Linked DNA regions of Stegostoma tigrinum. The protein of the gene in region 1 binds, or shares a complex with, the protein of each later gene. Links are inferred from orthologs where the notes say so. Each region holds a gene or a part of one and is shown on either strand. Other genes may lie near its edges. The genes, in order: low-density lipoprotein receptor-related protein 5-like and fzd8a.

Region 1 (13,319 bases):
ATTAATAGAGGAATCGAGTTCCGGAACCAAGAGGTTATGGTGAAGCTGTAGAAAACTCTGGTGCGGCCGCGCTTGGAGTATTGTGTACAGTTCTGGTCACCGCATTATAAGAAGGATGTGGAAGCTTTGGAAAGGGTGCAGAGGAGATTTACTAGGATGTTGCCTGGTATGGAGGGAAGGTCTTACGAGGAAAGGCTGAGGGACTGGAGGCTGTTTTCGTTAGAGAGAAGAAGGTTGAGAGGTGACTTAATTGAAACATATAAAATAATCAGAGGGTTAGATAGGGTGGATAGGGAGAGCCATTTTCCTAGGATGGTGACGGCGAGCACGAGGGGGCATAGGTTTAAATTGAGGGGTGAAAGATATAGGACAGATGTCAGAGGTAGTTTCTTTACTCAGAGAGTAGTAAGGGAATGGAACGCTTCGCCTGTGACGGTAGTAGATTCGCCAACTTTAGGTACATTTAAGTCGTCATTGGACAAGCATATGGACGTACATGGAATAGTGTAGGTTAGATGGGCTTGAGATCAGTATGACAGGTCAGCACAGCACAACATCGAGGGCCGGAGGGCCTGTACTGTGCTGTAACGTTCTATGTTAAAATGTTCTAATGTTCTATCTTCTCATACTCATACCTGCTCACCAGAACCTGACATGGACCATGAACAGTGATTCCTCCCCTTCCCATCCAAGGTAGTCTCCAGCCTTGAGGAAATGTCCCGAACATTAGTACCAGGCAGGCGACACAGCGATCTCTCACACTCTCTGCTACAGATAAGAGTGTCAATACCCCTGACTCTGCCGTCTCCTACTTCCACTACAATCCTTTTTACAATCCTGTCCAGGATGACTTCTTGTACCATGGTGCCATGGCTCATGAACTCACCCAAACTGCTGTCCTCCCTCTCACCCAGACAAGTGCAGAAAACCTCAAACCTATTAAACAATTACAAAGGCTTAAAATACTGTTGTCTAGGTTCCCTTAAATATCGCACTTAGTTACACGCTCCTTTCCCTGAATACGGACTCAAACAGAAGACCCCGTCCAAAAGAGCTCCTGGATCCTGGAAACCTTCTCCCTCTCTGATGATCCTCAATGCCTGTGGCTCTGAGCCAAAGATTCTGAAGCCACAAGGGCTTACTGCAAATAGTTGATCACACTGGCATCTAGAAGCTGTCATATTCTGCAATCTAGCACATGAGCTGTGCTGCCAATGTGTGAATTATGAGCTGCAGCTAACTAATTAACTTATGATTAATACAACCAACACCGCCCAAAAGCAGTGACAGTAAACTTCAGAACACAATACTTACAATATTGATAAAACTCAACAGTTTTTAATACCTGTTAATCATTTACCTGCTCCTTCTGCAGCATGAAATTAAAAATCAAATGCTGGAGATTGAAAAGAAATAGAGTAGCAGAAGAAAATGCCCCTCTTTTCTAGCCTTCACTAAACTCCTCGCTTGACACACTTCTTGCAATAAACTGTAAATGAAACATCTCTTTCCCCAATTCAGATGATTCCCAGTTTGAAACCAAATTCCCAGTTAAGCACACTTGGTTCTGAAAAAGGATCAGTGGACCCAAAACAAGACTAACTCTGCTTTGTCTTCATTGATGCTGCCAGACCTGTTGCAGTTTTCCAGCAATTTCTGTTCCTGTTTTCTAATTTCAAGCATCCGGGGTTCTTTGGTTCTTTTTGCTACTTGATTGTTGTCTCACTTCTCCATTGGGCTGACTGTCAATATTCCCTCTAAGATGCATGGTTGCATGTGCATACAGCCACTCTGAGGGGGTACACACAGTGATGAGTGTCAGCATGCGAGTGCAGCATTGACTGGAAGTCATTGCTGTGCACTGACCTCAGAAATCCATGCTGAGTAAAATGAAATACTGGCAGAAATGCTATTGACCATGTTCCCTCAATATCTAACTGTTGCCCTGCTGCTGTAAAATGTGTCTTATGATATCAACACCTGTCAAACAAAGCATTTTATTATAGAAAATTATAGAGATAAAAATAATAAATTTGCCTACCACAAAAAAAATCACTTTTTCTTTTCAAAGATGGCGAGTATCGGGACAGCATATCAGGGTATATAAGTCAAGTGTATCAAGTGAAGTATAGTGCTGACAGCGATTGGTGTAATTTAAAGTACAGTATGTGAAGCATGCTAATTTAGGTTTAGTTTTCCATTTAACTTATTGGAAACAGTATATTAAACATGCAAAGTGACAACACTATAATGTAACAACACATTAATTTTGCACCTGTTAGAAATTATAATTATAATAGTTTGAATAGATCAGCTATTAAAGTATTAATCCTTTATCAATTTCAGTTAGAAACATCTGTCAGCTGTTTACACTGTAAGCATTAGTTTCAGTAAATCTTGCATTGACAATATTTAACTGCAAGCTGTAAACAAAACCAGAGTTGTGCTGTCAAATGTACACGAAGTATTCTGCACGTGTTTCAATACTTCTACCACCTGTAAATAAAACAAATCTTCAGATAAAGTGCAGATGGAGAAGCTATTATCTCTGTCAATAAGTGATTCTGGTGTCAGATGTACTTGCAAGGAAAATATGAACAGCTGATCTGTCTGAAGTGATCATAACCATATCAATCAAAACTCACAATAAGAAAAAGTCAAAATTTGAGGCAGTCACAAAAAAATGAAAGAAACAGCATTCCTTTCTTCTTTGAGTTTCTTAATTTAAATTTCTGAAGCACAGTAAATCATTTGTACACTTTTAAATAGACTCCAACAGATGCAAAATGTTCAAAGCAGCTGCTACGCAACATAATTTCAAGTGCAAGGGGCCTATAATTTTCTACGTGTCGTAACTGAAAAAGAAAAGTATCCCCATTTATAAACATCTTTTGTGATACAAAAATCAGAAGACATAACAGGGCCTTAAAAAGGTGATCATTGTTAGAAATGCCTTTTTATTGCCACTTCTTCCTGTCACAAAAATCATGCTCCTATGTGTCAGCTTAGATGCCAGTTTTGTTTTACATTGGTGGTTAGGCTTTTTTTAAAAATCTCTTGAACTTATCAACAAGAATATTCAAAGTTGTTTTTAACATAAACGCAGAAGAACATTAGATATTTTTTCCTATGCAACACATTAAACAAAATCAGAACCCTGTTTCTCAATGATGAGCTTATTAAACTGACATGTATGAAAATTTTGCAGTGCTCTCAGCAAACAACCTTTGCTCTCTGTTTCCAAACTCTGTGCTGCTCCAACTCCAGCCTTTTGCACAGTGTCTATTTTAGAAGCTTTACCACAACTGTCTATACTTTCAAAGGCCCTAAAGTATTCATCCACAAACATCTAACCCTTTCTACCTCTCTCTCTCATTGCTTAAAATCTATCAATTCCACCAAGCTTTTAGTTGTCCATCATAATTTCTCCTTATAAATATTATATGTCAAATATTTTTAACAATCCAGGTAGAAGCAGCTTTACCATGTTAAAAGCACTGTTTAGATGCAAGTTACTATTACATAGTTTTATAAACTCATGCTTAAATTGGAGAGGCAATAAAAAGCTTCTAAATGATGAACAATATTGGAACAGTAAAATCTAGTCACAGGTATTATATTCTGGGAGAACAAGTCAGTTGTGATGAGAAGAAAGAGTCTTTACTTTCCATGAGAACCTAAGCAACATTTCACCGAGCATTAAAAGCAGGAAAATGGTGCAAGAACACAGTGCACCTCAACAGATGATTTTTGTTCACAGGCAAAGTCCACGGTCATCTTTGTCACGAAATATGACATCATAAGTTCAGCTGCTTTGTCACATCCCTTCCTTCCTCTTCCTCACCAGGCCAAAACTTCCTTGAAGCCTTTCCTCTTTAGTGGATGAGAACTCACAGTTTTCTTCTTGTTCTTCATGCCTTCTCCGAATGCCCGTTATCCATGAGATGCAATTGCCATTCTTTTGATCCTAATCCCACTACACTACAGTCCATATTCCTGGCCTTAACACACCCTGACATTGAAACGAAATCGACAAATACTGGAGATTACAGCAGGTCAGACAGCATCCATGGAGAGCGAGAGCAAGTTTACATTTCGAATCTCAATGACTCTCCATTTGCTGGTTTCTATTAATTACATATTTATTAGCTTAGCATTTTTGACTTTTGCATGAAGTTCTGTTTACTGTTCTAACAACTCATCTTTCTGAAACATGCTCACTGGCCTCTCCGAGAATAGAAAATGTTACATATGCACACCCATGTGAAAAGGTTGGCCACCCTTGATCAAAAAAATGGAATTCTTCCTCCACCCTTGTCTGAAATGAAAGGCTCGTTATTTTAAAACTGTGTCCCAGATATCATACGATGATGGAACTTTATGGGTCTTTATTGTTTTCAGATTAAGGTGACTGATTCTTTTAATATAACCTGATGGCTGAAATTTTAATCTTTACAAGAACCTGCAAAAACCTTAATATACAACAAAAATGTTAAATATTAACCAACTACATTTGGACACACACTTTGAAGAGGCTTAACAGAAAAAATAAATGTTGCGTCAGTGAACCTACCAGCTACCCTAAGCCATCACTTTCCAATATTGCAAAAAAAGATAATAACAAACTCATCTGATTTAAAATTTTCTAAAGTGTACTAAGGAATTGGATCGCAGATCATGCACATGATCTTAGTAGGATATACAATGGTATATTAATGCCTTGTAATGAGCTCAAATTGGCCAAAACTGTTATTTGAATCAGCGTTAGTTTATCTCCTCGAATTTGTACCTTGCAAAACCTATCCTTTTTTTAAAAAATTCAACATATTCACTACCTCACCAGATTTCTTGGGGGGAGAAAAGGCTGCAGGTTTCCAGCTCTGTGTTAGATGATATCCATTAATCAATTTAGTTCAGTTCGAAACGGGCAACTTCTTGAAGCTGTACATTTTCCAATTTCTCGAACAAAAACATCATGCACACATTTAAACAAGTAAATTAGTTGATTTCACTAACCCAAATTATTTGCTAGCAGTAACATTTGGCTGATGTTTGTATTGCATTGATTACGAGTTCATATTGATCGCGTCTTCGATGTTGACAAACTTAGCAGTGCACGGGGAAGTGACATCTAACACCACGTCTCAAACTCTTGCTTTTGTGACCTTAATGTATTTTGTTTTCCAAATACACTTTTCATACAGACATCCGATTTCAATTTACCAACGGCACACTTTTGCATTGTACGTTCCAAAATCTAGAAAGCCCAATCGAAGAAGTGGAGTCTAGACTGAAAAGATATTTTATGTAGGACACGACAATTCGCCTTCCAATTCCACCCCCCCCCCCCCCAAAAATAATCTTTGCTACGACAGGGCTGTGAAGAGTATTCTGTCAGAAAACACATCCAACAGTGGGTCGTCTTCAAATCCCTACTTACTACAAGTCACACGGCACGGGCCAACAACAGCGCGGAGCCCACGGTCCGATCGTAGATAACAAACAAGCAGTGACCGTCCACCTTCCCCACAACCCACACCTACCTGTTGCAAACAAGTAGTGGCTAAAAGCGATCAACGTTAATAACAAAGTCTCCATTTGTAGCTGAATGAAGAAGTGAAAATGTTTCACTCAGGCCCCATAGTTACCATGTATCACCATACAGACAGTGCCGATCCACCTACAGCCTGCCTGTCTGCCCTGTCTCCAGTACTTTCCCGGCTGGTTCCCTTCTCTCTCTGTCTGTCTGTCTGTCTACCGCCCACCCCCCAAACCTCCACCGGCGACGACCGAACAGTCGCCAGCGGAAGGCCGGGGACACCCCTACTTCTGATTGACAGCTCCCCTTAACAAATCAGCAGAGCGCCTCTGCACGTTCAGCCTTTGATGTTGCCAAATTATGAAGCACCTCCGGACCAATGAGAAGCGGGAAGTGGCGGGTCCTACCCAAAGAATGGAAGTCAGGCTGAGTTGAAGAATTCTTGCATTTGGATCAGTGCCATAGGACTTTCGAAAGTGTGTTGGTTCAAGTACAGCGCATAGCCATCACTGCTAAGTTTTCTGGACGTGGTTTTGTCATTGTTTTATGGACCTCAGTCTGCAGGCGTGTGTTCAAAATCGTGCAGCAGCGGTGTTCATTTTCTCCCTGAGTAAACAGCTTTCTCTGATGCCGAAAGCATGAACATAAAAATCCCACTGCTGTGAATATTGCTGCTTGTAAAGAACTGGCGGCAAAGGTTTCAGATTCTGTACAAAATCGCGTTTCCAAAACTTAGCCAGGTTCCCGTGCGGTTCCCCTTGAAATGCAAAAAATACTGCCACCATTTGGTATTGAGGGAAACAGCAAAGGACCTTTGTTTTTATGAGTTGCACCTCATGACTTAATTCACGGATCCCTTTTCCTGTAATTCCATTGAACGTGGAATAGAGTAAATATGGTTATTTTCGTTGACTACCCCGGAAAACTTTAAACAATGTTAATTTTATGCCTAGCGGCCCTTTGCCAAAAAATCCCTGAAGCATGGATTCGCCCAAACCTTACCAATCGAAACGTTCAAATGAGGGCGACTCAACTTACACTTGTATTGTTAATTGTGTTTGATTTTGGAGAGCTGGAGATCTGAAATAAAAGTTTGATTGGGTCGGTATCCGTGGCTTCACGGAAACATGCATTTAAATTGTGTACGTAGCCATGAGGCTATGCAGCCCACAAAGACCCAATGTCATGTCTGTCCGGGCGCCCTTGTTTTACATGTTTTAGTATTGATATGCCGATCAGTTTTTCACTCTTTTGGAAGTGGGTTTCGCTGGCTAGCCATTTATTGCCCATCCCTAGTTACCTTGAGAAGGTGGCGGTGAGTTGCCTTCTGGAGCTACACCTTATTTAGGTAGACCTGCAGTGCTGTAAACAGTGTTGAAAATGATCATGTTTTCTTTTAAAACATTTAACAGAACGGTGTTTGAGTATCAATTACATCGGAGTATCTTGTGATTGACTTTGAGATGCAGCAATATAAGATCAGGTGTTTTCTGTCTCGGGAAATGTAAAACTACATTTTGTAGTGCCATAGGTTCTTTTTCTCAGGCTTTCTTGCTTCAGACCTGTAGTTGTACAACTTTTGATGTGTGCATTAGTAGACACCATCCTATTTTCTCCTCACGGAGGAAAGCAGCTCAACTTTAGTTGAGATTAGGAACCTGCACTGTGAGAAGTCAGGGATAGTGATCAGGGAAATAAGACATTCCTGACATGAAATGATCATCAATAATGTCACTGTTACTTTTATCTAACCATGAAAAAAGTTGGTGAACCAGACTCCGTCTACGTTTTTAGATTTGTTCTGGGGATGTAGGCATTGCTAGCAAGGGCAGGATTTGATAGCCAACCCTGATTTTTTTTAAATGAAGGAGAGCTATCTTCTTGAAACTTGTGATTTGGGTGGAAAAAGATTTGCATAAGGCAGAATATGCTTGAGGGACTTGATGGTCTACTGCTGTTCTGCTATTGCTACATGAAGCTGTGGATCAGCTACATGCGGTGAGAACATCTTGGCTGACATTAGTGCTATCAATAATTAAGGATGGAGTTCCATCACCAAGAGCTATAAGCCCAGTTAGAGGGCTAGCAATTTGGCAGCAGTACTTGTGGCTATTGCTCAGGTGGCAGCTCCAGCTCCATAACCAGGCTCTTTGAAGGGGTTGGGCTTTGTTCAGGAAGCCGGACTTATGATGTGATTTTGGCGGGGGAAGGGAGGGTCAAATGGATACTGTGCTTGTGGCAAAAGGCAGGCTCAGGGATGCTCACTGCCGCAGGCAACTTTTCCCCATGTGCCAGTAGGCCTTACTGACCCAGGCAAAATGGTCACAGAGACGTGGCGTGGCCTTCAGGTGACAGTTGATGACTTAAATAGTTTATTTGAACTCCCCAGTAATATGCCACTTTTCCAACCAGTGACAAGTGGCATGGCAAGGGGAAGACAACCCTTCTCCTGCTTTCCACATCAATTTGACAGCCTGCTTACTTCATGACCTTGAGAACTTTATGATCACTGACTCTGGCAGATAGGTCTTAAAAGAGAAATTAGCAAGAGCAGGCAGAAGTAGTTAAAATAATCCCCAAGTCCAGTAAAATGGTCTGCTACTGTGCTGAAATGTAATTTGTTCAATATCCTGTACTATTGTATTAAAGTCTTTTAGATACAGCAGATTCACTTAGTTAAATGTTTCTCAAAAAATGTAATGAGAGCTTAGCAATTCCTATTCAGCTTTGTTTTGCAAGGTGTTTTCCAAGCTGACTCTCAAAGTCTGGACAGACATGTGGGAATGCAATTACTACTTGTATTGAGAGAATGTTTTTAACAGAACAAAACACCCCAGGCACATTATGTGAGCATTATCAGGATGTGAATAGTTGTATTACGAAAGGGTGCTATTCTTACTCAGTTTTGGATTTGGCAATTTTGACACTACCATAAATGTTAGAGTCTCACATTGGTCAGAAAAATGACAAGGGCCATTAAACCTGAGAAAGTATCAAACTTTAGCCACAAATATATTTAATTTTGAAGAAAATATTGCAATGAAAGTCCTCCTTTGCTTCATTTCTTGTTTCATGGCCTTTCTGGACCATCTTTAATATCCCAGGAAGAACGACTTGTGCGAAGTATACAAAGTGTACTCGACCCTCTGACTTCTATACTCCTGTAAATGAGCCAACTTGTGCTCCAAATGCTGCAAAATTAATAACTTTGTACTTCATAGGTCCTCAAATGCTGGTTAAGTGAGCTATATGAGGTTATAGTTGATCTGCACCCATGTCCATTAGTATGAATTTGAAAGCCCAAAGCAGAAATCTGGGTAGCCTGTTAATGATGCCTTGATGAGATTCGGAAATATTGTGAGCAAGTATTGTTCGAGGAAATGGATAAAAGACTGATAGATCAGTCCACTTGATGCGAGATCAATTATTAATTTTTACTTGAGTTAGATAGATAGGTTCTTGTTGCCGAAAGGAATTGAGAGATATGGGTGAAGATAAATATGTGAAGTTTGGTTGCAGAATTATAACCTAATTAAATGATGAGCATGTTCAAGAGACTAAATGGTCTATTCTCCTGCCTATGTTATAAGCTGTGGAAAAGATTAACCTAAACTGCAACATTTGAGTTTAAGGATGTAATTATTTCAAACTCTAATGAATCATGAGACCTTAACATGATACTAGCAGATGTTTGAGTATGAAATAAATGCTGAATTAGATTGAGAAAAATAAAACTCAAACTCAAATTAGTGTCAGAGGGGAAAGAAAGTGTGAATTGTACAAAAGTGAATAGCCACTAGCACAGTAGTAAAAATACAGCTCCAGATCAGGATGTTGATGATGTCATAGAAATATTTGAAGTTTAAACATAAGTGCAGATTGACATTCCAGATGGTTTTTTCTAAAAGGCAGCAGTGAAGGCAAAAGGATTGGCTTCATCGTGTGCCGAGTAGGGATAGATTCAGATTTGTTTAATAGGATCAATGTTGATTCAGTGGAACAACAACACAAGAATGGGACGAGGCAGCAATATGTGTAAGACCTGTAAATGACCATATGAGTTCACTATGTGCGGAACTTATGGAATATTCAGTCACTGGGGAGAAATGTACAGAACAAATAACATGATGCATGGGCTACTAGAGGCAAAGCAGCAGGATAAATGAGAAAGAAAAGAAACCAAAACACTAATACCTGAGAAGGTGGCTGTAAATTTGAGAAGACGATGATTGGAACCATACAAATGCATGAAACAGTCCTGAGAGAAATTAAATTTAAATAACCATTCAGATCAGGAAGAGGGTGAGAAACACTCATAACTGTAAACCTGAAGCTTGAAACTAGAACCTAGAGTATGTTATCCCATTCAAATTACATCAGATTAATTTCTCTAAACAGTTTAAAGTAACGAGTTGCACAAGGGAAGATGCTCTGAAACAAAGCAACATCATCTGAACAGCTGATTAAGGAATTTGAGATTTGACAGGAACAACTCAAATAATAGGGAATCACAACAGATGTTAACTGCACGTTTTATATCTCAGAGACAAATGATCCTACGTTCTTACAATTGAGTAATTGCAAAGCACTGCAGTTAATCTCAGTAAACCATAAGAAGGGCGGCACGGTGGCTCAGTGGTTAGTACTGCAGCCTCACAGTGCCAGGGACCCAGGTTCGATTCCAGCCTCGGGTAACTGTCTGTGCGAAGTTTGCACATTCTCCCCATGCCTGTGTGGGTTTCCTCCGGGTACTCCGGTTTCCTCCCACAGTCCAAAGATGTGCAGGCTAGGTGGATCAGCCACGCTAAATTGCCTGTCGTGTTCAGGGGTGGGTTATAGGGGGATGGGTTGGAGTGGGATGCTCCAAGGGGCGGTGTAGACTTGTTGGGCCGAAGGGCCTGTTTCCACACTGTAGGGAATGTAATTTAATCCAGTAAGAAGGAAACTTCTCTGAATGTTGAAGGTAAGATATTCATTCCAAACCACACTGTCATCAGAAGCAAGATGGTTCTTGAGTTACAGAGCCTCGGTAATACCTGATGCAAAGCCAAATACATTGGTTGAAGTTAGACATTGGCATTCTCAATATTGTTGTTGAAAGACACAAAGCATTTTTGATTGAGGGAAAAGGACAAATTCAGTAAGTCAGACAGCGAAAGAACAAGATTTTCAAAAGCTCCAGCAGTATAGTCACTAACCTGGAAACATTAAAAACTGAACAGAACATAATATGGCATGTTGAAAAGGGCCAAATGAGGGAGAAAGTGCTTTCTGTACAGTTAGCAGGAGGCATACAAGAGGGAGATTCTGAACCTCAGTCCAAAATGGTCAACATATCAAATAGAACTTGGAAAAAATTAAGAATAATATTGTTGTGTTCAGACAGCAAATTAGCAAACTGTGGATGCAGTTTCAAACTATGTCAGAATTGAAAAATGATTTAATTGGAAATTAGTGTCAAACCACAAAATGTGCTAAAAATATTTAAGGGTGCAAATACAAATGCGTCAAACCAAACAGAACAAGCACAGTAGGAAGCTGAAAACAGTCGAAAGAAAGGTACATAGAGTGATTAGAAGGGAAACCGAAGCTCCTGAATCATCACAATGAGCTCGAAGAGAAGTACTGACTGGTCCAAGACCAACTGCAACCTGCTGCTTTGGCTCAGAAGATGAGGAACAATATTATATCAACTAAGTGATAATATGAATAATGTATTTTGCAAAAACAAATGTAATTGAGTTTTATAACTACATTTACAGAAACCAAGACATCTTTCTTTATGGATAGAGTTTATTTACTACAGCTCCTTAACACACCAGTATTTTCTTATCAAGCTGGTCAGAGATATTTGACGCATCTCTGGACCAGATGGGACTTCAATCTGAGTATCCTAGCTCAGAGGTGGGGACACATCCACTGCACCTAGAGAGCAGCTACATTCTTCATTTACATCTACCCAAGCAATTAAGGAAGAAATCAGCCCTAGTAACCTGTTCTACTGTTGGCTATATCATTAAATGCTTCTGTTTAAATAAAAATCTTTGAAATCGGTGTTTGTAAACAGTTAGTTTAACTAGAGACCTGGGTGATTTGGAAGAATGGAATAGAAGAGTAGAACAACAAAAAGGAGGAGGAAAAGAAAACAAAAGGAGAAAAAAATTTAATAACTCTTTGAAGACATTCAGACATTTCTTAAATAAAAACAATGATACAAAACAATTTTTAAAAATTATTCCATATACCAACTTTTCATAATCCACCTTTTATACAAAATAGATGCTTAACCACAAAATAATCCAAACAAAAACTGATTTTTGTTTCTTCATTTGCTTGTAATTCCTCATACTATCATGCTACCCTCTCCAAAGATCTCCAGTAATTTCTTAGAGCAAGCAACTTCTTCATTTAATTGGCTGACAACAGAAGAGATGCATTAGTCTCTTTATTTTGGAAATCTTTTCTTTATGGCCATAAGAAAAGGTATGACAAAGCCAATCTTTAATTCTTTGTCAAATGTTCACTATCTCAAAGAGAATGGTTATCCACGTAAAATTCCATGGGCAAACCTTTCTCAGAGTGCCCTTATCTGGGATTTCCTTTAAAGTATTGGATAAATAGACCTGCGTATCTATAGTTTCTGCTACTGCCAATGTTACAGCAACTAAATTATATTGAACGTGCGTTTTAGCTTCTTGGTTTCCTAGACCAACAGACATTTGTTATTGTTGTCCATCAAGTATATGATAGCCCTTGTTGTACTTAAATAGCTATCCTAAAAGTTGCCATGTGTAACATCACTAAAAAGGAATAGCTTTATGTCTTTTGGGGTCATCCAAGGCTTCAAAGCACGATTGTGTATTTTTCTGAATTTAATCCCTTTATAATATTTTATTTGCTCTTAAGACTCCTGAAATTAGCATATTTTATCACAGTTATCAATTCCCATACTGCATTAACTGGCATCCAATCTAGTCCTAGTTGCAACCAGTTTAACTGTCCAATCAAACTTCTTAGCCAGAGATAGTAGGAACTGCCAATGCTGGAGAATCTGAGATGACAAGGTGTAGAGCTGGATGAACACAGTAGGCCAAGCAGCATCTGAGGAGCACGAAAGCTGACATTTCGGGTCTTCAGAAAAGGCCCTTCTGAAGAAAGGTCCAGACCCAAAATGTCAGCTTTCCTAGTCCTCTGATGCTGCTTGGCCTGCTGTGTTCATCCAGCTCTATACCTTTTTATCTCAAACTTCTTAGCCAGGATCCTTTCTGGATGCAAAAGCACATTTCTGTGAAATACTGGCCCCATTTATCTGAATGCCATTAACCATTTTAAAAGATTGATTTGTCTTTTACTAAAAACTTTTCATCTTAAAAAACATTTTCACATTTGTTAGTGTAAGTTTCAATCTAAGATTTTAGAGTAGATTTGTAGCTCAGGTCGTGGATGTTGTGGTTGGTTGGCTTGTTGAGCTTGTTCATTGTTTTTCCGCAGACATTTCATTACCCTGCTGGGTAACATCATCAGTGCAGTCTCCGATGAAGCGCTGTTGTGTTTTCCCGCCTGTTATTTGAACTCTAGAGTCCATTGAGCTGGATTACCCCACTTCCAGTTTTCTTTTGCAGTGGAGTGTAAATGGGGTCGAGCTCTATGTGTTTGTTGATGGCTTTCATCGTGGAGTACCAGGCTTCGAGGAATTCCCATGATTGTTTCTGCTTTGCTAGTCCCATGGTCTTGGGTGTTGTCCCAATCAAATTGGTGGTTCTCCTTATCCACGTGGATG
Region 2 (12,371 bases), on another chromosome or scaffold:
CCAAACTTAACTCTAGGTGAATCATTTGTTTCTTCCCATCTTCTTGCCCTGCCAATTAAGTTTTGACACATTTAGTTAACATGTGGATAGTACTATACTGTTGCAATAAATTACTTTGAAAGTTATCCAAATATGTCAAAACTTTTAGATTTCTCAAAAGCTTTCATTCATGTCCCTAAAGTGAATAGATAGTATGATGCATTTCTGTTTATTTTTTCACAGAAATTATAGAATTAGCTATTTCAAAATGGAAAGTATGTATAGTGTTTTGAGATGTGCAGGCACTGAATTCACATTAACATCTTTCCAGTCATAACTCATTTCCTTTATTGTCAACTTATCGGCATTTTCTTTTGTTAACTACTTATGTAATTGCCTGGTAATCTTGTGATTGTCTCAGATTCAATGGTCACTTTTGATTGAGCCTTCTATGTTCTAATAATATTATAAGTCAGGATTATCTGCAATATCACATGTCAGCTAAATCACCTCTTTTAGTCATTTAGTGCTCATACCAGCATAACTAATGTTAATAAAGTAATTTCACGATAGTGTTAAGAGGATTGTGAGCTCACACCTCACTCAAGGACATGAACGTCTTACTCTAGGGGAAGGGCTTTTGTGGTACAATGGTTGTATCCCAGCTTTTGAGCCAGTCAGCTTGGATTTGAGTCCTGCATGCTCTCAAGGCATGTCAGAATATGTCTGAACAAGTTAACGTATCTACAAGCAGCCAGGATGGCTCTTGTGGTGCAGTAGCTATGTCCCTATCTCTGATCCAGGAGTTCAGGGTTCAGAAGCCATTTACTTCAGAAGTGTGTAATAATCTCTCTGAACAGTTTGATTAGGGAAATATCCATAATTCTAGGGCATGTTGTTATGAGATTGTCAGATATTTTGGATGAAATATGGAAATCAAGTGTTTCCTGTAAATGCAGACGCCATAGACCCTGTGGAACAACTAAGATTTCCCCAATAAAAAAATGAATGAATGATTTATTATTACATATATCTTTAAGATATAGTGAAAAGGTGTTTTGCAGACCTGTCTTCTACATTCAAACAACACACAATTAGTAAATATTCATCCCCCAACTGTTCGTACAATCTTCCTGTAAACAAATAACTACTGTAGAGATATAAGGCACTATATATTCATTTTCTTGCTTTATTTTTGTAAAGTAGCTGACTTGTGTCATTATAAACAAGGAGGATGAGAAAACTGCTGATAAAATGTCTCTACTACAATAGGGGGTATTTCTGTGAAGACAGGAAGATAATACACATTGGGTAGAGGACAACACAGAGACTCCCTAATGCTTGATAACAAAGTGTGGAGTGGATGAACACAGCAGGCCAAGCAGCATGTTAAGAGCACAAAAGCTGACGTTTCGGGCCTAGACCCTTCATCAGAAAAGGGGGATGGGGAGAGGATTCTGAAATAAATAGGGAGAGAGGGAGAGGCAAACCAAAGGGGGATAGAGGAGAAGATAGGTGGGGAGGAGAGTATAGGTGGGGAGGTGGAGAGGGGATAGGTCAGTCCGGGGAAGACGACAGGTCAAGGGGGCGGGATGAGGTTAATAAGTAGGAAACGGTGGTGCGGCTTGAGGTGGGAGGAGGGGAAAGGTGAGAGGAAGAACAGGTTAGGGAGGCAGGCACGGGCTGGGCTGGTTTTAGGATACAGTGGGGGAAGGGAAGATTTTGAAGCTTGTGGAATCCACATTGACGCCATTGGGCTGCAGAGTTCCCAAGCAGAATATGAGTTGCTGTTCCTGCAACCTACGGGTGGCATCATTGTGGCACTGCAGGAGACCCAGGATGGAGATGTCATCTAAGGAATGGGAGGGGGAGTTGAAATGGTTCGCAACTGGGAGGTGCAGTTGTTTATTGTGAACCAAGTGTAGGTGTTCTGCAAAGTGGTCCCCAAGCCTCCGCTTAGTTTCCCCAATGTAGTGGAAGCCACAATGGGTACAGCGGATGTGCAGGTGAACATCTGCTTGATGTGGAAAGTCATCTTGGGGCCTGGGATGGGGGTGAGGGAGGAGGTGTGGAGGTGTGGAGGCAGGTGTAGCACTTTCTGCTGTGGCAGGGGAAAGTGCCGGGTGTGGTGAGGTGGGAGGGGAGTGTGGAGTGGACAAGGGAGTCGCGGACAGAGTGGTCTCTCCGGAAAGCAGACAAGAGTGGGGATGGAAAAATGCCTTTAGTGGTGGGGTCGGATTGTAGATGCCGGAAGTGTCGGAGGATGATGCGTTGTATCTGGAGGTTGGTGGGGTGGTATGTGAGGACTATGAGGATTGTCCTCCACTAGTCCTCACATACCACCTCAGCAACCTCCAGATACAACGCACCATCCTCCGACACTTCCGCCATCTACAATCCAACCCCGCCACTAAAGACGTTTTTCCATCCCCACTCTTGTCTGCCTTCTGGCAAGACCACTGTCTCTGCAACTCTCTTGTCCACTCCACATTCCCCTCCAACCCCACCACACCCGGCACTTTCCCTTGCCACCGCAGGAAGTGCTACACTTGCCCCCATACCTCCTCCCTCATCCCCATCCCAGGCCCCAAGGTGACTTCCCACATCAAGCAGATGTTCACCTGCACATCCGCCAATGCGGTATACTGTATCCGCTGTGCACGGTGTGGTTTCCTCTACATTGGAGAAACCAAGCGGAGGCTTGGGGTCTGCTTTGCAGAACACCTACGCTCAGTTCGCAATAAACAACTGCACCTCCCAGACGCGAACTATTTTAACACCCCCCTCCCATTCCTCAGACGACATGTTCATCCTGGGTCTCTTGCAGTGCCATAGTGATGCCATCTGTAAGTTGCAGGAACAGCAACTCATATTCCACTTGGGAACCCTGCAGCCCAATGGTATCAATGTGCATTTCACCAGCTTCAAAATCTCCCCTCCCCCCATGCATCCCAAAACCAGCCCAGCTCATCCCTGCGTCTCTAACCTGTTCTTCCTCTCACCTATCCCTTCCTCACACCTCAAGCCGCAGTTCCATTTCCTCCCTACTAACCTCATCCTACCCCCTTGACCTGTCCGTCCTCCCCGGACTGACCAATCCCCTCCCCACCTATACGCTCCTCTCCACCTATCTTCTCCTCTCTCCATCTTTGGTCTGCCTTCCCCCTCCCTCCCTCCCTATTTATTTCAGAATCCTCTCCCCATCCCCCTTTTCTGATGAAGAGTCTAGGCCCAAAACGTCAGCATTTGTGCTCCTAAGATGCTGTTTGGCCTGCTGTGTCCATCCAGCTCCACACTTTGTTGTCTCAGATTCTCGAGCATCTGCAGTTCCCATTATCTCTGGCTCCCTAATTCTTGTCTGCTTCACCTCAGCATGAAATCTTTCCCTTTCTCTTAGAGTCCTGACAGTGATATGTGAGGCAAAGGAGGATGTTGCAGTCGAACCTAATCGTACCATAGCCGACATCCAAAGAAAAATTTACTACCACTTAGGAGTCTCTCCCTCTCCATCACAAAGATACTGAAGCCAAATGTAGTGCTGCCTCATCTGAGCTTGCTCAGTTTAGATCATGAATTGAATCTTGGACCTTTTTGGCTGGACCATCATCTGTTTCCTGTGATAATGAATACAAAGGAAATTGGAAGATATTCTTTCTATATCACTTGGGAACCTCTCAATTCAGAATGCATTTAAACAAACGTTGCTAAACTTTAAAGGGTTCAGGTAAGATTTTCAAGGATATTGCCGGGGTTGGAAGATTTGAGCTATACAGGGGAGGCTGGATAGGCTAGGACATCTTTCCCTGGAGCATTTGCGGCTATAAAATCAGGAGGAGGGGCATGGATAAAGTAAATAGCCAAGCTCTTTTCCCCTCAGGTGTGGGAGCCCACATCCAGAATGCACAGGTTTGTGGTGAGGGGAGAAAGATTTAAAAGCAACCGAAGGGGCAACATTTCCATGTGGGGGTGCTGCATGTATGGAATGAGCTGCCAGAAGAAGTGACAACTGATACAAGCAGGTGGAGGCTAGTACAATTACAAAATTTTGAAAGGCATCTGGATAGGTATGCAAATAGGAAAAAATTAGATGGACATGGGCCAAATGCTGGCTAGTGGGACTAGGTAAGTTCAGAATATCTGATCAGCACTGACAAGTTGGACCAAAAGGTCTGTTTCTGCGCTGTATAACTATGTAATTTTAAATGAATTTGAAATGGTAAAACTGACTGGAGTTTACACTCTAAAACAGATAACTTCAGGAGTTTACTTCAGAAACACCCAAGAGTGTAGGAAACACACCACACAGCTACAACATTTCATTTAGAACAATCTTGATAACATAATATAACTTCTTAAGATTTTTCTCGTTACTAATTTTACTTGCCCTCATTATAGTTAGGTTTGTGATACTTTATATCAGAACATGACAAAAAGATTACATTGGCCATTGGTGGACTGTACCTATCTGTTGATTAAGGCATCATTTTTTTTCAAAGACACTGTCCTTAGAGCAGCCTGTATTTTTATGCAGCTTTTTATATTTCTATGATATTATGAATGAAAGCTAGTTCAAATATGATCGCTGCACTGCATCTGTAAGTAACTCCTTTATTGAAAAAATACATTCACCGGCGAATTCACTTTGCACCGAATGTCATCAGCCTATTAAAAATAAATATTTGTTAAATATAGTGCTTCGAACATTAAGTTTGGAAGGAGAGCAAACAAAGCGGAGGCGTCCAGTCTTCAGATACTTCAGTCTCTAACCCTGGTACTATTTCGGAGCTGCTACTAATGTTACTCACTGTGTAGTAACGTATATACATATGAACAGCGTGGATCCCATTAATCATGTGTAAAGGCATCACACCAGGCCATTTCACAGTATCCAAAAACATCATGTCTAAATGCTTCGCGATATTTCTGTGAGAATGAAATAGCGAAGGAGGCGTTGTGGTTCATTCAGTTGAGTTTAGGATGGGGTGTATCGGGGCAGTCTTCGGGGCGGGGGAGCGGGGGGTTGCAGAATGTGAATTGATAGAACTCGGACTGCACTTCGAGTCGAGGGACGCTCAACCCGGCTCCAAAAAAAATGCATAAACCGCGATCAAGGTCCTTGCGCTGAACTGCTTTGCACTTTCAAAAATACAGCAAGAATAAATAAACGCCAACATTAAAGTGGAGTTTTGGCCATCGCTGAAATACATAGGCGAGTGCGGGCAGTACTGAAATGTACAAAACCGGAAAAGAAGACGAAAGTTTTTATCAAAGTTTATTCGAAACGGGGCACGTCTACAATCTTAAAACTTGCTGCAGTGTCTGCCCGTTCAGACTCTTAAAGCGTAGCTAAAATGTGTTCAGTTGTAAATTCATAGCAGGACACAATCCCTCGCTCGAAACTCGTCCTATTTTCGCGCTGTTTATATTTCCCTCCACTGCAAAAAAAATCTAGCAAAATCCGCCACCTGCTCTCTTGTTACGGGACGGAAAATGCTGGAGATACTCAGCAGGACACCTCTACATTGTTCTTTATTTTTTTTTCCTTAATGCCCATCGCCTTTAACTAACTCAAGTTTCCGTTCTTAAAGATGCAGCAGTCCCACCTTCTGCGTGAGTCTCTGGTCGAATGAAACATCGGCGCTTCAATTCAAACAAAAAACCCAAACAATTCCTGTACGAGGGGGAGGGAACTTTAAAGACAGCCCCCTGCGAGGAACTAACAAGCGAAAATTAACCTGCTAAACGCCCAGCCCCTCTGGAAACTGTCACTGTGGGATTCTTCTCTGAGGCGAGAATGGATTGACAGACGCTGTGTCTCCCTCCACTCTCCCTCCGCCCCTGTCATCGTGTGATTGGTAACCCCGGCCTGGGAGGGGGTGGGATTTGGCTTTCTCACGTTATAAATATACAACAGTATTAGGTTCTCTGCGTTCGGTGATCACTTAATGCGACGCGGCGCTCGTATTTAGTCCTGGGGAATTTTGTGTGGTTTTTGTTTTGTTTTGGGGAAGGGTTGGAAGAGGAGGGCCACAACAGTCTGAAAGCAACCCACCTTCCAAGACCCAGTACAACCAGCCAAAAAAGGGAGAAGCCCTGGTCGTCTTAAAAGAAGCAAAAAAGTTAGGAGGAACTTGTGTGAAGTTTTTGTTTTGGGAGGGGTGAGGAAAAAGGTGCAGTTGTGGCCAGCTTAGTCAGACCGGCCTGCGTGAGCTGGGGAGTGGAAAGCTCATGTTTTAGTGGCTCGTCCTCTGCGTGAAGTGGACCGCAGCCCGATGCCCAGGCTGAATGTGTGTTGGCTGTTGACCCGCATGTCGTTCTGAGATCCGGACTGAGGAATTGGAGGGGGTGCAGGAGGCTGGCGGGTGCTCCTGGGGGTCGGGGTTGGGGCAAGAGGAGGAGACGGAGACAACTTGCACTTTGCAGCTGGACTCGAGGATTCTATCTTGGCGTTTGTTAAAGCGGGGGGGGGAAAGAGGAAGTTTAAGAAAAAGATAGAATCAGTGCTGGCGTGAAACAATTTTTTTCTTTCTAAACAAAATAAGAATAAAAACCAAGCCTGGAGGGTCTGAGGAGGCTGCAATGGAGTGCTGCTACCTGCTGGAGCTGCTGTTGGCCGTGGTGTTGCTGCAGAGGTCGAGCGGAGCCTCGGCCGCTAAGGAGTTGTCTTGTCAGGAGATCACCGTGCCTCTGTGCAAAGGCATCGGTTACAACTACACCTACATGCCCAACCAGTTCAACCACGACTCGCAGGACGAGGCGGGCCTGGAGGTGCATCAGTTCTGGCCGCTGGTGGAGATCCAGTGCTCGGCGGACCTGCGGTTCTTCCTGTGCAGCATGTACACGCCGATCTGCCTGGAGGACTACAAGAAACCGCTGCCGCCGTGCCGCAGCGTGTGCGAACGGGCTAAGGCCGGCTGTGCCCCCCTCATGCGGCAGTACGGCTTCGCCTGGCCGGACAGGATGAAGTGTGAGCGGCTACCCCGGCAGGGACAGCCCGAGACCCTGTGCATGGATTACAACCGGACCGAGGCGACCACGGCGGCTCCGCTCTTCCCGCACCGCCCCCGGGCCCCTCCTGCGGCGGCAGCGCCCCCGGCCGCCGCTCCCCCAGGGCCCGGGGCCAGCCGCCGGCCTGCCGTTCCACCGCAGCGGCCTCCTGCCCGCTGCGAGCCGGGCTGCCACTGCCGGGCCCCGATGGTGCCGGTGCGCAGCGAGCGCCACCCGCTCTACAACCGCGTGAGGACGGGCGAGGCGGCCAACTGCGCGGTGCCGTGCCACGACCCTTACTTCACGGCGGACGAGCGCAGCTTCACCGCCTTCTGGCTCGGCCTGTGGTCGGTGCTGTGCTTCGTCTCGACCCTGGCGACGGTCGCCACCTTCCTGATCGACATGGAGCGCTTCCAGTACCCGGAGCGGCCCATCATCTTCCTGTCCGCCTGCTACCTCTTCGTGTCGGCCGGCTACCTGGTCCGCCTGGTGGCGGGGCACGAGAGCGTGGCCTGCAGCCGCCCGGCCGCCCCCTTGGAGCCGCACGTCCACTACGAGACCACGGGGCCCGCCCTGTGCACCTTGGTCTTCCTGTTGGTGTACTTCTTCGGCATGGCGAGCTCCATCTGGTGGGTCATCCTGTCCCTCACTTGGTTCCTGGCCGCCGGCATGAAGTGGGGCAACGAGGCGATCGCCGGCTACTCCCAGTATTTCCACCTGGCCGCCTGGCTAGTGCCCAGCGTCAAGTCCATCGCCGTGTTGGCTCTCAGCTCGGTGGACGGAGACCCGGTGGCCGGCATCTGTTACGTAGGCAACCAGAACCTGAACAACCTGCGGGGCTTCGTGCTGGCCCCCTTGGTCATCTACCTGTTCATCGGTGCCATGTTCCTCCTGGCCGGCTTCGTCTCGCTGTTCCGCATCCGCAGCGTCATCCTCAAGCAAGGCGGCACCAAGACCGACAAGCTGGAGAAGCTGATGATCCGCATCGGCGTCTTCACCGTGCTCTACACCGTGCCCGCCACCATCGTGGTCGCCTGCTACTTCTACGAGCAGCACAACCGGCCGCACTGGGAGCTCACCCACAACTGCTCGTGCCTGAGCGAGCAGGAGGCCCGCCGGCCCGACTACGCCGTCTTCATGCTCAAGTACTTCATGTGCCTGCTGGTGGGCATCACCTCGGGCGTGTGGATCTGGTCAGGCAAGACCCTGGAGTCCTGGAAGGCCTTCTGGACACGCTGCTGTTGGGGCAGTAAAGGGACCGGCGGCTCCATGTACAGCGACGCCAGCACCGGACTCACCTGGAGATCTGGCACCGCCAGCTCCGTGTCTTACCCCAAACAAGTGCCGTTATCCCAAGTCTAAAACTGTGGAGCTCTCTCTCTCTCTCTCAACCCAGCGTCTTATTAAAATGTTAGTGGACATCTAATGGTATCCAGGAGTCAGAAGTGAAGGACTGACCGGAACAGTGTACCTGGCACTGATACTTCACGAATCGTAACCATTTTTATGCGCACGGCGTCCATTAGCTGTCCAGATGTGTGAGGGGAAACGAATTTCTATCGTGTCCATGACCAGAAACTTTTCAGCCAGTCGCGATTTTATGATCATTGCAAGGAGTCGATTGGTCACTTTTAATTGATGACATTTATGGAAATAATTTAAATAGAGGAATGAATGGCGTACTTGACACATTTCTTAATGGTGAAAAGCCTGGGTGCATCAACCTGCCTTAAAATCCTTTTTTTGAGTATCCCTAAGTAATACGGGTTTCATGCAAAGTTGTATTTATATAATTATTTGTACTATGAACACAAATCTGTAAATTGTGTACATAACAAAAGCGTTTTTGAGGTATATTCAGAGTATGTACATTTTTTTGTATATATATAAAAAAATTTAGTGGCTGCCTTTGCAGGAGCACCAGGAATTATTTGAAACAATTATTCTATTTTGACAATAAAACAACTTTTGATTTTTAATTACTTTTGGAACATGCTCGGCAAATCTTTTCTGGGCGGGAGGGGCAGGAGTGGGGAAGAGAAATGTGCATTTTACTGGTGGGTAGTTTGTTGAGATATCAGTTTAGGAGCAACTGAATATTTTAGTAATTGTTGAACTTTTTACCTGGCTGCCTACTGGCTGAGTACATAATTTCTTAAACGAGGCTCAATTCAATAGGGTTAATCTGTAGGAGTGAGCCTTTTGAATCGGGTAACTTTGATGTCTCGTTTCCAAGCTTGAAGTACTTTTTTTCCCCTCTCTTTCTCTCCACCACCCCCCCCCCCCCCCCTTTCATTTCTAGCCTCCCTTGTTTTCAAGGACGTCGGCCATGGTGCCTTTAAAAATGAATAAGAAGGAACGTTTCTGAGACTTAACTCGTTTAAACGGGGGGGACGAGTTGTAACAGTTAGTGAGCACGAAGGGAACGGGGAACAGTCTTTCAAACAGCTTTTTCTGCATTGTTGACCAGACTGCAGGCAGTAAGGCATAGGCCTGAACACATAGAAATGCCCATGAATGCCCTACAGGTGGTCCAGCTCGCATAATCCCCCAATTTAAGGCGCTCTCCTTTGCAAGACAATTGCATTACAAAGCCCTCTCTCTTTTTTGCTCCTAATTGAAGCAATGGGCAAGAATTATAGAATACAGGCCTTTTTAAAAAAAACTGCATGGCAATTGCCTGGACTATAGTTGCAAGCCGATCAACGAAATAGCAGCGTTGTTCAGGCGAGTGTGCGCTCCTCATGAAAGGGCATTTCACTCTTTTTAGCAGTTTGGGGAACATAAAGACAAACTATGCCCAGTACGCACGCAATTTTATGGCAGATTAGTGATAATTTAAAAGTAATTGGGAAGGCTGCGCGTTCGTACTCGGGGGGGGGGGGGGGGGGGGAGATGGGGAATTGCCCCCCGGGGGGGAGATGGGGAATTGCCCCCCGGGTCCAGCATTTGTCAATCGAGATAAGAGAGGGGACAGTTAGTCCCATCTCTCTGAGGTCAGACCAACTGATGACCAAACCATCCATCAGGCACTAATGCAAGCCAGCACTTACTGAGGGTTAATAGTATTAAGTTTAACAAGGCAATGTTAATCTGAAGTTTCCATTCTCCACTCCACCTGGATGATACGAAATTATTTCCAAAGTATTAATTTTGTGAACATAAGCTCTATGAATTCGGTTATGCACTGCACGAAGTATCACTTGCACGTTTGGCTTGTACGAAACAGATAACTTACAACTTGAAAGGGGATCATTTCTTGAATCCATGTAGAGAATTTCCAGTAAAATGTGTGGAACGTTTTTTTTTCGCCCGCGTTATTAGCATTTTTTTCGCGTTTTGTGGCGACCTGTGGAACCACCAGTGGTCGGGGCTCAGTGGGTGGCGTGTGTACGTTTTATCACTGAATTTAATCAGAAAATGTCAACAGATTCAGCAAATAAACCGGCTTGAGGATGCCAAACACGAGTCATGTTGCAGCAGCGGGAATAGAATTGGCAGGCCTCTTGATGTGGAATAAAGGATTCTTTCCCAACGTGTTTACAAAGAAACTTCCCGAACCGTCCTTTCAAAGGTCCTAGTCTCTGGGCATTGCTGTAACCCACTGCGGTTACTTTTACGGACGTCTTGTTAGTGGCTAAAACAGCGTGAAAAGCGCTTGAAAAGTTGAGTTTCAGTGTAGTTAAAAGATTGACCAGAAACGGATATGTATCTCAACTGCAAGTTTTTAACTGAATTCAGGACAAGAACATGAACGTTTGTGGAGTTACGTCCGAATGGGCCCAATACAAACCGACAGTGCCCTACATTGTTTTCTGTCTGCAGATTAGAATAAAGAAACTGGACACACCTCAAGTCTTTGCAATGGATTTGTGAACACGTTCAGTTTATCTCTCGTTTTATTCTCCTGGTCTACAAAGATCTTACATTTTCACAAATGCATATTGCAAGGCTCCACAAGAATGGTAGATTGCCGAAGTAAAAAGGTTGAAAATATTTCTCCTGTCACTCCACTCAAAAACGGGGTGAATAAAAACTGAAAGAACTGCTGTAAATCGGAAACAAAAACAGAAATTTCTGGAAAAGATCAGCAGATCTGGCAGCATCAGCTGTGCGCCGATGCTACCAGACCTGTTGAGCTTTTCCAGAAATTTCTGTTTCTTTTTGTTGAAAAAGAAACAGCGGTTTGGCGGAGCAATCTTTCACGTCAGCGGCGGGGTGATTTCCGAACCTACGTCCCAACGAAGACCAACCCCAGTATTTACATTCCTTTAGCGACTTGGCTGGACGGAATTAGTTGGTGCAATGTAGGGAATCTTGGGAATGGAGCCTTTGACAAAGTCGAGGTCCGTCCCAGCTGGATTCTTAAAATACTGCGGTGCTATTTTCCCTGTCGTGCGAAGAAACGGTCATAGCGAGGGGCAACTCTGTTCGAAGTGCCCACTGCAAGCACTCCCGTGACCTCCGGGGTAATTAATAAAGGGCTGACACCCGAGAAGGTGAGGTACACGACGGCTCTTTATCGAGTCCTTTGCTGGTCCTGCTCAGGGAGGGGTGTGGTTAACACGCTGGGAATTTCTTAAGGCTGTCTCTTGGTTTGCTCTGGGCGAACTTGTCTGACAGATTTATTCTATAGGAATCATAAACCCAATCTTTCACTGAATCCTCTGTGAGATTTTCCGCATTGTTGGGGTAATTGACCATGCTTTGCACTGGGTCAGATAAACATTGTGCCAATTATTTTTGTTACCAATTATCCTTGATTCCTTTGGCCAGTGTTATTTTGCAACCTTTCACACGTGTGCCTAGTGTCACCGAGTTCTTCTTTTAATTAACCTCAGGCACCTCCTGTTTCAATTTTAACTTCCGGTCCCCAACACTGATCAGTGACTGCTGTCTTTGCCACAAGCCCCCACCCAGGTGGTCTATCTCTCTTCCTCTGGACAGTTGAAAACTCAGCCGCATATTATACCTCCTCCCAGGCTTTCAATTAAAAAAATCCTTGGACTGCAAAGTTGTCAGATACTGTTTCCAAATCACTTCATATTAATGTACGAGAGATACAACATTTTCTTCTTTTTTACCAAACCAGTCGTAAGGGCTTTTAAAGATCATTCCGTTCGACGTACCTTCTAATTTTCTCCTCTTAATATAAACTATTAATACACCCAGCGCTTCATTCAATGATCCAAAGGTTGGTTGAGCCAATCAATGTGTATTAGTGTTGGAACACTTGAGATCAATGGAATAATGTAAGTAATTGTATAACGTGGCATAGGATAACTGGGGAGGAAAGAAACAGCCAATCTTTCTCTCTCGACTTGTTCCGTGGGCTCATGGTAGCGACACTGATATCTGAAGAGGCTTGAATAAATACAGAGTTCAATGTTGCTGAGGACATCATC

The links.
Region 2: low-density lipoprotein receptor-related protein 5-like (region 1) and fzd8a share a complex: the UniProt entries of both Homo sapiens proteins name them as parts of the wnt-signaling complex. The link is inferred for Stegostoma tigrinum from reciprocal best matches to the Homo sapiens genes LRP5 and FZD8.

What each region holds. Positions count from the first base shown.
Region 1 is NC_081370.1:25,820,112-25,833,430, reverse strand, and holds the start of low-density lipoprotein receptor-related protein 5-like, read right to left. Parts: upstream 5,812-13,319; 5' UTR 5,599-5,811; coding exon 5,544-5,598; intron 1-5,543. UniProt on the Homo sapiens protein: Acts as a coreceptor with members of the frizzled family of seven-transmembrane spanning receptors to transduce signal by Wnt proteins.
Region 2 is NC_081355.1:131,098,005-131,110,375, reverse strand, and holds fzd8a (frizzled-8a), read left to right. Parts: upstream 1-5,900; 5' UTR 5,901-6,558; coding exon 6,559-8,328; 3' UTR 8,329-8,349; downstream 8,350-12,371. UniProt on the Homo sapiens protein: Receptor for Wnt proteins. Component of the Wnt-Fzd-LRP5-LRP6 complex that triggers beta-catenin signaling through inducing aggregation of receptor-ligand complexes into ribosome-sized signalosomes.